Linked DNA regions of Drosophila melanogaster. The protein of the gene in region 3 interacts with the protein of the main gene of each other region in a pairwise test. Each region holds a gene or a part of one and is shown on either strand. Other genes may lie near its edges.

What was found.
Region 1: the proteins of CG17271 (region 3) and mura interact in a two-hybrid assay, tested with the Drosophila melanogaster proteins (one large-scale study listed by BioGRID).
Region 2: the proteins of CG17271 (region 3) and Rbp interact in a two-hybrid assay, tested with the Drosophila melanogaster proteins (one large-scale study listed by BioGRID).

The regions. Positions count from the first base shown.
Region 1 is NT_033777.3:9,549,715-9,553,470, forward strand, and holds the start of mura (murashka), read right to left. Parts: upstream 1,625-3,756; 5' UTR 1,602-1,624; intron 97-1,601; exon of another isoform or gene 1-96. Other genes in the region: RnpS1 (RNA-binding protein S1), read left to right, coding at 2,469-2,470, 2,547-2,708, 2,977-3,756.
Region 2 is NT_033777.3:15,372,699-15,376,454, forward strand, and holds the start of Rbp (RIM-binding protein), read left to right. Parts: upstream 1-1,936; 5' UTR 1,937-2,163; coding exon 2,164-2,270; exon of another isoform or gene 2,271-2,979; intron 2,980-3,756. Other genes in the region: Ccm3 (cerebral cavernous malformation 3), read left to right, coding at 1-65, 151-315, 688-772.
Region 3 is NT_033777.3:20,820,225-20,823,980, forward strand, and holds the start of CG17271 (uncharacterized protein), read right to left. Parts: upstream 1,625-3,756; 5' UTR 1,488-1,624; coding exon 1,377-1,487; intron 1,318-1,376; coding exon 1,204-1,317; intron 1,143-1,203; coding exon 922-1,142; intron 575-921; coding exon 426-574; intron 220-425; coding exon 1-219. Other genes in the region: RpS20 (ribosomal protein S20), read left to right, coding at 2,047-2,049, 2,194-2,349, 2,578-2,667, 2,908-3,021; CG17272 (uncharacterized protein), read right to left, coding at 3,165-3,515, 3,579-3,643, 3,711-3,741.

The DNA.
Region 1 (3,756 bases), about 11 Mb from region 3:
AGAGACGTGTGTGTTAAAGAAGCGGGGCACGTCTGGCCGCGGCCGTTAACAATGCAAATTTACCACCAAAACCAGCAATAAAATATTGTATGTATGCTAAAACAAAGAAAATAAAAGTAAAAGAAAACATTGCTATTACATTCAGTTGAGAAACTAATTACTTGGGTTGGTTTAGTTTGGTTAGCAATAAATGTATGTATATGTGGAATAATATTAAAATATAGATCTATATATATAAAGCCTGGTTTTAATTGCGGCCAATGAGTATTAATGCCAATGTAATGCAAATTAGACGTAAAATATAGGCAGGCAGTACAATATACAAATGCTTGTTTATCATAACGATAATGGTTGTAATTGTGGTTCAATATACAGTTGCAGTTAAACTAATAGTGCTGTAAACTATTTTTGGTTTGTAGTCTCTGAGAAATGGTTACTTGAATATGTTGAAGTGGAGTAAAGTTTCTTCTAAGAAGAAGGTTAGTGTTGCTTAAAACAGACATTTAAGTAGAAATATTATATATATTATATAATATTATATATATTATATAATGGAATTCTATAATTTGTACCCCAAAGATATTCTCCGCAATTATATAGTGATATATTCTTAGCATAAGAAGTTCTTTTTCTTTTCATAACATAAATTTCGATGCTTTTAAAATGGAAGCACTAAGATTTTGGAAGCACCCTCTTCGTATAACGACTGTGTCACGGCATAAAACCCCTCTTTGATCAGGGTATTTGTGGTAAATATTATTATAAAGATAAGATAAGTGCATTTCTAAACATAGATTATAAGACTTAATGCAGCGATAACATATACTTATGTATGTATGTATGTATATAAAGAGCGACCTCTTCGGTGCTCTCCTTCAACATTGTAAATAGACTACATTTCCGTAATTTAACTATTATTTTGACCACAAATGTGTGTGCGCGTTCTTCTATGCATACTTGGGCAGGGTCGGTGTTCGAGTTGGGGTCACACTACGCCCTCTCAAAATTAAAACAATAAATTATAAAAAATATACGCATATACACACAAGGAAGCAGGCATCAAAATATTCGCTTTTTCCATGGAGTCCGGACCCCAACACACATACACACTCACACCGATGCACAAAGAAACCGAGAGAGGGAGAGCAGAGAGCGGCACTGAGAGCACGTGAGAGGACCCACCTACTGTGCATACATGTGTCTGTTGGCAGCTCCTATTGTTGTTGCTATTGCGTAGTCATGACAGTCAACTTCATCGAATGCTCTTTTTCGCTTTTCTTAGTTTCGTTTTCTTTACACACATTGATTATATGAATATATGGATATGTATACCAACGAAACTCTTGTTGGCTAGCTGGTTTTTGGCAATTACGCTGCGCTGTGGCGTTTCAAAACACGATGATGGGGCTAAAAAAATGTGCCTTTGAGGTATAGACACTGGTTAATTTGCATTGACTGCTGCCACAACATAACTGCACTTTGCACTCACACACACACTAAGATATGTTTTTCAACGCAAAGCATTCGGGGCGGGGTTTTAATATTGCTATTGAGCTACAGGCAGAGTAATCCGAAATATTAAGAATAATAATACTACACACCAGACGCGGAGCTCCCGACTCGACGGCAGACAAAGACGCAGTGTGGTAAAATGTGCCCAGACCAGACGGGGCGCTCCTCTCTCTCACACTCTCTTTCTCTCTCTCGTTTCCGCTGCGAGTGTAGATATATGGATGGAAAATCGAAACTCTGTGGCTGTGGCCAGCCCCCGCGGCCCCCTTTTGCTATCTCGCTTGCTCGCATGGACAAAATCAACACAAGTTCACACACATACAGGCACACGGATGTGAACTCACAATGACAACCACTTCGTCACCAGCAGATAAAAAAGTGCTGGCCTTAAATCAATTGCGTTTTATGTAATTCCACTACATTCGTACGTTACGAAAACAAGCACTATTCATATTACACGGTATACATTATTACTTCCTATCGAGTCCAAATTGCTAGGCAGGAAAGGTCTTAAATTTTTACGCTTTATGGGAGTTTACCTTGGGTTCGACCTGACAAAGAGTGTGGCCGCGGCGAGACTGTGAGAAATTACCAAGTGGTGTCTGTTATCTTAATCCCAAATACTCTAGAAACATTTGTATACTAGAATTTGAGATTTAAGCATATTATAAAAGAAATTTATTTATATTTAACTAAAAATGCTTCTTAATATTCGCAAAACAGTTTTTTAATAGCAAAGTAAAGGAACTGGATTTTATTTTAATAAGTGTGTATTCTATTTTTTTGTCATATTTACACGTTCACAAACACGGCCACACTAATCTCCACTGAAAACGCTACTCGCATTTAACTCTAGTTGAGAAAAACAAGATTTATTAATAAAAACATTTTAGCTTGCACCTAAAAGAGTGTGCGGTACTATAAAACTAATCGTTTAACAAATCGGCAATACGAAAATGTAAGTATCTGCACCACATTTTGCTCCCTAAATGGTCTAAAACAGCTCGCTTTTCTCGACAAATAAAAAAAAACAGGGCGCGTGCCCAGAGTCTCGCCGGCGAGGGTGAGAAGGAAAAGGACAACAAGGAGAAGGTCGCCAAAGAGAAGGACGGCAAGGCGACCAGCGGCTCCTCGCGCAGGGACCGCGAACGCAAACGCCGCGGATCGGCGTCCTCCAGCAGCGACTCCAGAAGCAGGTAAATCAGCCGGCAAAGGTCTTTCCCACAAATGGCTGCCATCTGCCAACCGGAATAAGGGTTACTTTTAAAAGGAAGTCCTTCTTCTTCTGTAAAACGTAGCAGATAGTACGGGAAGAAAATAGCCTTCGAGCGAAAAGATTTTGTAAAAATTCACATACCATATATGGTAAAATTTCATCACAGTTAGGAAGTGTTTTACTTTGTACCAGCTTCATTGCCGTTTTCTTGGTTACGAGAAGTAAATAAAACACTTCACTTTTTCCAGCACATCGGACAGCAGCTCTTCGCGGAGCAGTTCCGGGTCATCGCGTTCCAGCTCAAGCAGCTCCAGCGACTCCTCGAGCTCCTCATCATCGTCGTCCAGCGATTCGGATCGCAGCGAGAAGAACCGAAGACGTGGCGGCGGCGCTGCTGGCAAAGACAAAGACAAGGATAAGCCCAGCGCCCGATCACGTTCCCGCTCTCGCACCCGTTCCCCCAGGCGTGTCTCCAAATCTCCAAGACCGGGCAGCAAGGCGCGAAAAGAGCCGGAGCGAGATCGCGATCGTCGTAGTCGGTCGAGGGATCGTGCCCGCCGTGCTGGATCCAACGATAGGGCAGCCGCCGATAGCAATAATGTTAAGCGGGAGCGTTCTCGCTCAGCCAGTCGTTCACGATCGCCACGCCGTCGTGGTCGCGGCTCCGTTGAGAGGACGCCGCCACCGAAGCGAAGGGAGCGCTCCCGTTCGCGGACTCGCTCGCCTTCGCCCAAACAGGTGCGCATTCATGTCGGTCGGCTTACCCGCAACGTTACCAAGGACCATGTGTTCGAGATATTTAGCAGCTTTGGGGATGTGAAGAATGTGGAGTTTCCCGTAGATCGTTTTCATCCTAACTTCGGACGCGGCGTGGCGTTTGTGGAATATGCCACACCCGAGGATTGTGAGTCGGCCATGAAGCATATGGATGGCGGGCAGATAGATGGCCAGGAGATTACGGTATCCCCGGTTGTCTTAGTAAAACAGAGGCCGCCCATGCGTCGTCCTTCGCCACCGATGCGCCGTCC
Region 2 (3,756 bases), 5.4 Mb from region 3:
AAGGTGATCCTCAGCCGCATACCCGATGAGATAAACGACAGGAAGACCTTCCTGGAGACCATCAAGTAAGTAAAAACTCAAAATGAAGCTAAAACTCACTGCATAAGCTTAACTGATTAATGAATAATGAAATTTTACTGCGTTTTACAGGGAAATCGCCAGCGCCATAAAGAAACTACTCGATGTGGTCAACGAGATCGGCTCGTTTATACCTGGCGTAACGGGCAAGCAGGCTGTGGAGCAGCGTAAGAAGGAGTTCGTCAAATATTCCAAGAAGTTCAGCACAACGCTGAAGGAGTACTTCAAAGAAGGACAGTAAGTATTAAGAATCACCTGCAGTGATTATTTACTATATGTGTTATCAAACGATACGCTGCGACGCCATGACAGCCGGTTTCTTTAAATCGGCTCATATCTGGTTTCTTATCGTTTCGGGCCAACCGTTGAGATGATGTCATTCCATTGGCATTCCGGGTATTGTTTGGTTTATCATTTTGCGCCGGAGATTCTGAGGGGCGGATATTAAGCCGGACCCCCGCCCATTTTAAATTGTAAATTGCTTCGATTACGTACTAATGGCTATTACCGCTGACCTTTTCATGAAATTGGGGCCAAATTGCATTACTAATTCAAATTGCTTCAGCAAGGATTTTCTAACCGATTCTCTTTTATTTTATCTATTTTCAGACCGAATGCAGTATTCATAAGTGCACTTTTTCTAATACGGCAAACGAATCAAATAATGCTGACAGTTAAGAGTAAATGCGAGTAGAGAATTAAATCCTTTAATTATGGCAAATTAATTAATTAGTGGCATTTTAATTTTATGTTTAAATAACCATTTAACATACCAAGACCGAAACAAATCAAATAAACTCAACACACTTAAATACAAAATCGCCCGACGCAGTCCAAGTTAAATGTTTGAACGTAAATGAAAATCTGTTGTAACTAAATAAATAGGCCTAATTTATATCGTATATACATATGTATTACACATACTCGGACACAAAATTTTGCGAAGCCTAAGCATTGTAATTAACTAGTGAGCAACTATTTATGGAGACGGACGATGTGTGCGAGAGTTTATTTTTCGTTTACAATTTATTGTAAATAATTCATTCTTTTTCTGTTAACAAACAACATCGGCTAGTTTGTTTTTGTTTAGGAGAAGCGCCTACGAATAAATTTAAAATTAGTGGAAAAAAAACGAGAAACAGGAAATGTATGTACTACGGGGAGATGACAAACAAAAACATTAACGGAACACTTAAATTTTTAACTGTTTTTAATTGTTAGAGTTTGAAATTTAAACACTATACATAATAATCTTTTACTTAATGATATGTTCTATTTGAAAACTGCGAAAGCGAAAGACATTAGTGGCCGACAGCACTATCAACAGGATGGAGAAAAAATTATTTTAATTAATAAAATGTTATATGAAAATCGAACACTAAGCAAAAGTAAAAGAACGGCAACAAACTCATAATGTAGACATAGCGAAAAGAAAACGACAAATAAATGTATTTATATTCCAAAATTGAAAAGAGTGTTTCATATTTAACCAATTTACGTAAAATTACTTTATAATTTATAGTATTAGGTGTGGTATGATGTGGAAATAATTGTTTTATATTACCCGAGAATTGATTTCGAAAATCAGAGATTGGTAAACTGAAATCAAAATCTCAGATTTACACGCACATGTCGTTAACAGAGGACAGCGCTGTTAACGGATAACAGCCAAAAGTAATAGTAAACCCCCAATAACAGGCCCTGAGCAGAAATTTACCCAGTTGCAACCCCAAAGGAGTCCTTCTGAGAGCGGGAGAGAATTGCCCGTTTTTCAGTGTCATTTGGCAGAAAAATCGATTCCCCGCACACTGAATAGTGGGCACTGGGTACTGAGTGCTCGGCTCTGGGTTCTCTGGGCCACTCTGCTCTGGCACACTGAGCACCGAGCTGGCAGTTGGGTAGAAATCAGAGTGCGCCAGCAGCGCGACCGAGATGACCCACTTTTCGGTATTCGCACTGAGACCCAACTGCTACTACCCACAGAAAGTGGACAACTAGGCGGAGTTTTTTTCTATATAGTAGCAGTGAAACGATCGCGTTTTTCGGATATATTATGTACAGCCTACGTAGCCTAGTGTAAACTATATGCATTTATGTGAATTTCCCAGCGCAAACGTGGAAGAGGAAAACAGGCGACCTGAAAAAGCAGCAGCAGCAGCAAGCAAGAAGCAGAAGCACAAGCAGCAAAAAAGGTTCGCAACCCGTTCAAAAGCCCCCGAATACAAAATATTACAAAAAGTTAACCCAAAAAGAAAGGATAAAATCCTGTGCTTCCGAAAACGAAAACCGCAGTTTAAGCAAAAAGTGTCAAAATCGCGTGGTAAATACTTATTTTGCGCAAGCTGAAAAAAAGAGCTGTTATGCGAGCGAGCGAGCTCACGAAAAATTTCGCTGTACACCAAATGTTTGCCCAACAGCACCGCTGCTGCGTGAAAATTTCATTTTCTCGCCAATAACGTGAAAAAGCTCGCCGCGAGTGCAGTTAAAAAATCCAGTGAAAGATATAATGATTCCGGGAAAATGGTGGGACAGTGAAAAGTAAAAGTGTAAGCATATCGATAAAGGCAAAAAAAAAAAAAAAATACGAAAAAGAGCAGCCAGCGTAAAACTACACTCTCCCACACACACTCACATGCATACATATATCCAAACATATACATATACATACTCGCCCACATGCTGATGCATATACAATATGCAAATGCGGGTAATCACTGTAAAACCGAGGCAGGCGAAATGGTGAATGAAACCGAAATTATAGAAAAATGCCTAAATAAAATCGGAGAAATTGGCTAAAAGCAGAGTTCAGCTACATTTTGGCACAAAAAAGCGCGCACCCACACACACTCACGCATACACCCGCCACACACATACAGAGAAAGCGAAAAGAGCGAGAGGCATGTAAGTAAAGTAGATGTAAATGGCCAACGAAACTGGAGCAGCACCAATACCACTGCAAGTGCCACAACGGCAGGAGCAGCATGTGTGTGTGAGCGTTTCATATTCATAAGCTTCCAGCAGCACCAGCAGCAGCAGCAGCAGAAAAGTCCCACTTTTTGGGTTCGCACTCTGGGGGCGGTTTTCACTTCACACTTGTCCCACAGCCTGCGCAACAACAATGTTAAAGTTGTTTGCTGCTGCGTGCGTAACACACATACTACATACAGTGTACACCCACCACACACGTTCGTGTGTATGTACGTATGCATGTACATATGCATACATATATATGTACACTAAAGGTATCTACAGCGTGCATGCGGTTACCGTTACCTTCTCTGGAGCGGTGTTTTAATACCCGTAACAGCACTTTCCACCGATTGAATGCTTTCACGTATTTCGTATATATTTATAGCCCACTGTACTCAGTTTCCACTGCAATGATCGAAAGTCACGCGTCGATGGCCTGGTACACGTTGCGGATACTTAATACAACATTATCACAACCTAGACGGGCTTATTATGAAAAGAAAGTCTTCATAGCTTCCTTCTATAAATATGTAGTTTTTTCTGTAGATGAATTAAAACATAATTGGCCAAATTTAAATTAACATGTTGCATATGTATTTAATACATGAAGAACTCAAATGTGCAACTATTCAATTGAATTTTCCTTTAAGCCAACAGAAAGATCCCCCGTGTTGAAAAATATAAAGAACGGCTTGAAAAGAAAAGCCA
Region 3 (3,756 bases):
GCTGTTCGTGCGGCTGCTGTTGTTGCTGCTGCTGCTGCTGCTGCTTCTCGGCGGCCTTTTGCTGCGCCTTAATGAACTCCGGATAGTCGATGTAGCCGTCGCGTGAGGTGTCGTCCATCTGCAGGATGGGATCAATGAGGGCCACCAGCTCCTCGTCGGAGAAAACCTTCTCCTCCACATGCGGCTTCTCACCGTTCGGCTGCTCCTTGCTGCCTTGCTCTGCATGGCAATGATTTGTTATGGCGGATGCGAGATGGATTAGCATGAGATTCGAGCATGACCACAACCATAACCGGAAACAGCCCAGTTTTATTACGCATATGCAAAGAAGTAGAACAGAATAGTGGGTCAAACAAAACGAAATACAGAAACCACAAACGCAACTCTAACCAGCGAGCCAGATTAAAAAGCAGTAGCTATCTTACCGTGCCAATGGATCAGCGATTTGATCAGCTCGCAGCCGTCCAACTTGTTGTTGTTGTCCGAGTCGTGCATCTTGAAGTAGTGGAACTGCAGCTCAGCCTCGGACATCTTGCTCGTATCGATTGGCACTTGCATGTGCTCCTGGATGTGACTGAAATTGAAAGAGTAAGGTTTGGTATTAGATCCAACTGATCGTTGATTTGGTTGAAGAAATAGATCAGCCCAGAAATATTATGTAAGTACTATGTCTAATTTACTTTTAACATGGAACTTTTGATATATAATTTCTTTAAATGCGAATGGAAACATTTGCTGTATGAAAATGTCACTATGCTTAATTTATAGACTTTTTTCCTAATTAAGCCTTAGGTTTGCGGTACAACAAAATACCTCCCTTCACTTTTATGATTTATTTATGACATTTTTACTCGTATACCCTAAAGCTCCATTGATGGATAATGATTGCCAGTGGCAGTGATAAGATAGACGGGCACTTACGCGCGCTCCTGCTGAATGTTGCCGGTGTTTAGGACTTGCTGCGGTTGCCCATGGTGGTGGCCACCTGCCTGCTGGTGGTGCCCCTGCTGCGGCTGTTGCTGTTGCTGCATCGTCGGTTGCTGGTGGATTGGTTGATGTTGCTGCTGCTGCTGCTGCACAGGAACTTGCTGATATTGGACCGGTGCCTGCTGTTGCACGGGAACTTGAACCTGTTCGTATTGCTGGAAGTCGGAGGCCTACTGGTTAATTGCTTGCCATTCGGAAATGCGCATTTGCACTCACGTATTGCTGGGGCGGCACACCGGGTGCTGAGTGGACCTGTTGCTGGTACTGCGGCTGGTGGTGCTGCGGTGGTGGCGGTGGGTGGTGCTGCGGCACCTGCTGCGGCACTTGTTGCTGCAATATGTGTGGGTTAATTCCCTCATTGGCGAATGGGGGTGCTTCAAATCACTCACATAGTGCTGCGGATTCACTCCGGGAGCGACGCGCTGTCCGCTGGCCAATCCAATCAGGATTAGGGGCAGCAGCAGCTGAACTGCTGGCAATTCCGTGACGCGCATCTGCATGGAAGTGCTGGATTCTGGCGGGGATCGGATCGGATCGGTTTGGGATCTATATCGCTTCTGGTGGCTCTGTAATCACCACGTCGCAAAGACGAAACACACACGTACACAAATCGCTTCTTCTTCGCCGGTGGACATTCGCAGCGAGCGACAGCTGATTCTCAGGTAAGTGCGGACATTCGCCACGAAACGTGTGAGCGGCATGACAACACTGCGCGCCTGGGTTAGGGGTATGCGCGTAGATAATATTATCATGCTTCAAACCGAAAAAAAAAATCATAAAAACAAACTTGATGCTTCCATTTAACAACTCAAAATTTAATCAATCTAATATGTGTACGATTTCACCGTTAGGGGTTTAGTATTAGTACCCCGCTAATATTTAGCTCAAGGAACACCCCAAATGCAGTTGGGCATAATTAGGGTGTTTTAAAGATTGAAGCTACGGTCTACCGTGGACACCCTGTAAAACTTCTCTTCGTTTTCAACCAGCAAATTGACTGGTTCAGCGCTGCTCAAAATACAAAGATTTGAATATCTCGACCAGGGAAATTGCTAAATAATGGTAAGAATGCTGTTGCCGAACAATCCGCAACTACTGCGAGTCAATAGTAGTGCTTGCATTGCCCTTGCCAACACGAAATACCGTGCACGTGCGATGGCCGTTCAACCTAACCCCACTTAATCGATGTTTCCGCCAAATCCACAGGCTGCTGCACCCAAGGATATTGAGAAGCCCCATGTCGGCGATTCTGCCTCTGTGCACCGCATCCGCATCACCCTGACATCCAGGAACGTGCGTTCGCTGGAGAATGTGTGCCGCGACCTGATCAACGGTGCAAAGAACCAGAACTTGCGCGTCAAGGTGAGAATTTTGCGTCCAACTCAGGGATTTAGAGGTTGCATTTACCTGGAGGCTTTGCGTTCCCCCAGACGCTTAGCCTAGTCATTAATAAATGCTAGATAAAGTGCCAGAATCGGACATTATTCCCGCACTGATCGACTGCAGAGCTGGAATATCACATGGTTCAGGCTACAATACCCATTTTCATGAGGAATTCCTTTCTAATTCTTAAATATTCATTTATTTCAGGGCCCCGTGCGCATGCCGACCAAGACCCTTCGCATCACCACCCGTAAGACTCCTTGTGGTGAGGGTTCCAAGACCTGGGATCGCTTCCAGGTGGGTTATCCCCTATAATATATATAGTAACAAACGGGCGAATCTGATATCGTGGTTGGGCATTCAACCAGTCGCTCCACAGTATCAATGATTTGCCCAGATAAAACGTATTCTCATAGTACAATTTGTTGGTATTTCCTCACACTTTGCCTCTCTGAATGCGACAAAACTAATTAATAATGACTCAGCTATTAGCTTGCCAATGGAGTTGCATATTAAATCAATATTACATTATTCCAGATGAGAATCCACAAGCGCATCATCGACTTGCACTCGCCCTCTGAGATCGTCAAGAAGATTACCTCCATCAACATCGAGCCCGGCGTAGAGGTTGAGGTCACCATCGCCAACTAAGATCGGCAGATGCCACATTTTTACACCTCGAAAAGTTTGGCGTGCTAATAAAAACAAAGAACTTTTTCCATACACATTTGGCCAACTTTATTGTGCGAAAATTGGAGTACTTTACTGGAATGTTTTTTTATGGTAAAGGCAGTCTAATAGTAGTCGGGAACTGGGGCGCATGCAATCTTGACAAAGTCTGCATACCGCACAGTGCTATTGTTGTTCACATTGGCCTCCCGGAAGATGTTGTCCACTTCGCGCATGGACAGGCCCTCTCCCCAGTTTTGAAGTAGATTACGCAGCTGTCTGGCCGAGATGGTGCCCTTATTCTGCGGATCGGCCGCTTTAAAGGCGGCAATGACCTCGTCCGGCAAACTCTCCACCTTGGAGTGCTGATGCATGATGTCCAGGAAGTCGGCGAAGCTCATTTTCCCATTCTTTTGCTTCAGATAGGAAACCAGTTCTTGGATCGTCGGCGAAAGACCCAAAGAACGCATAATAACCTGATGACGTGAAGTTTACACCATTAGTATGTTTTTTTTTTCTGGGGTGGGAGCTCAACTCACGGTTAGTTCGTCCAAATTGTTGATTTGGCCCGAACGGGCGAACAGATAAAAACACTCACGGAACTCTGGGGGTTACAGATAAGAAATGTTTTCGGTATGAAATCATCAATTCACATTGATACGCATATTTACCATCAATGTCCTGTTCTTTAAAGTAACGAGCCTGAAATAAAGTTCA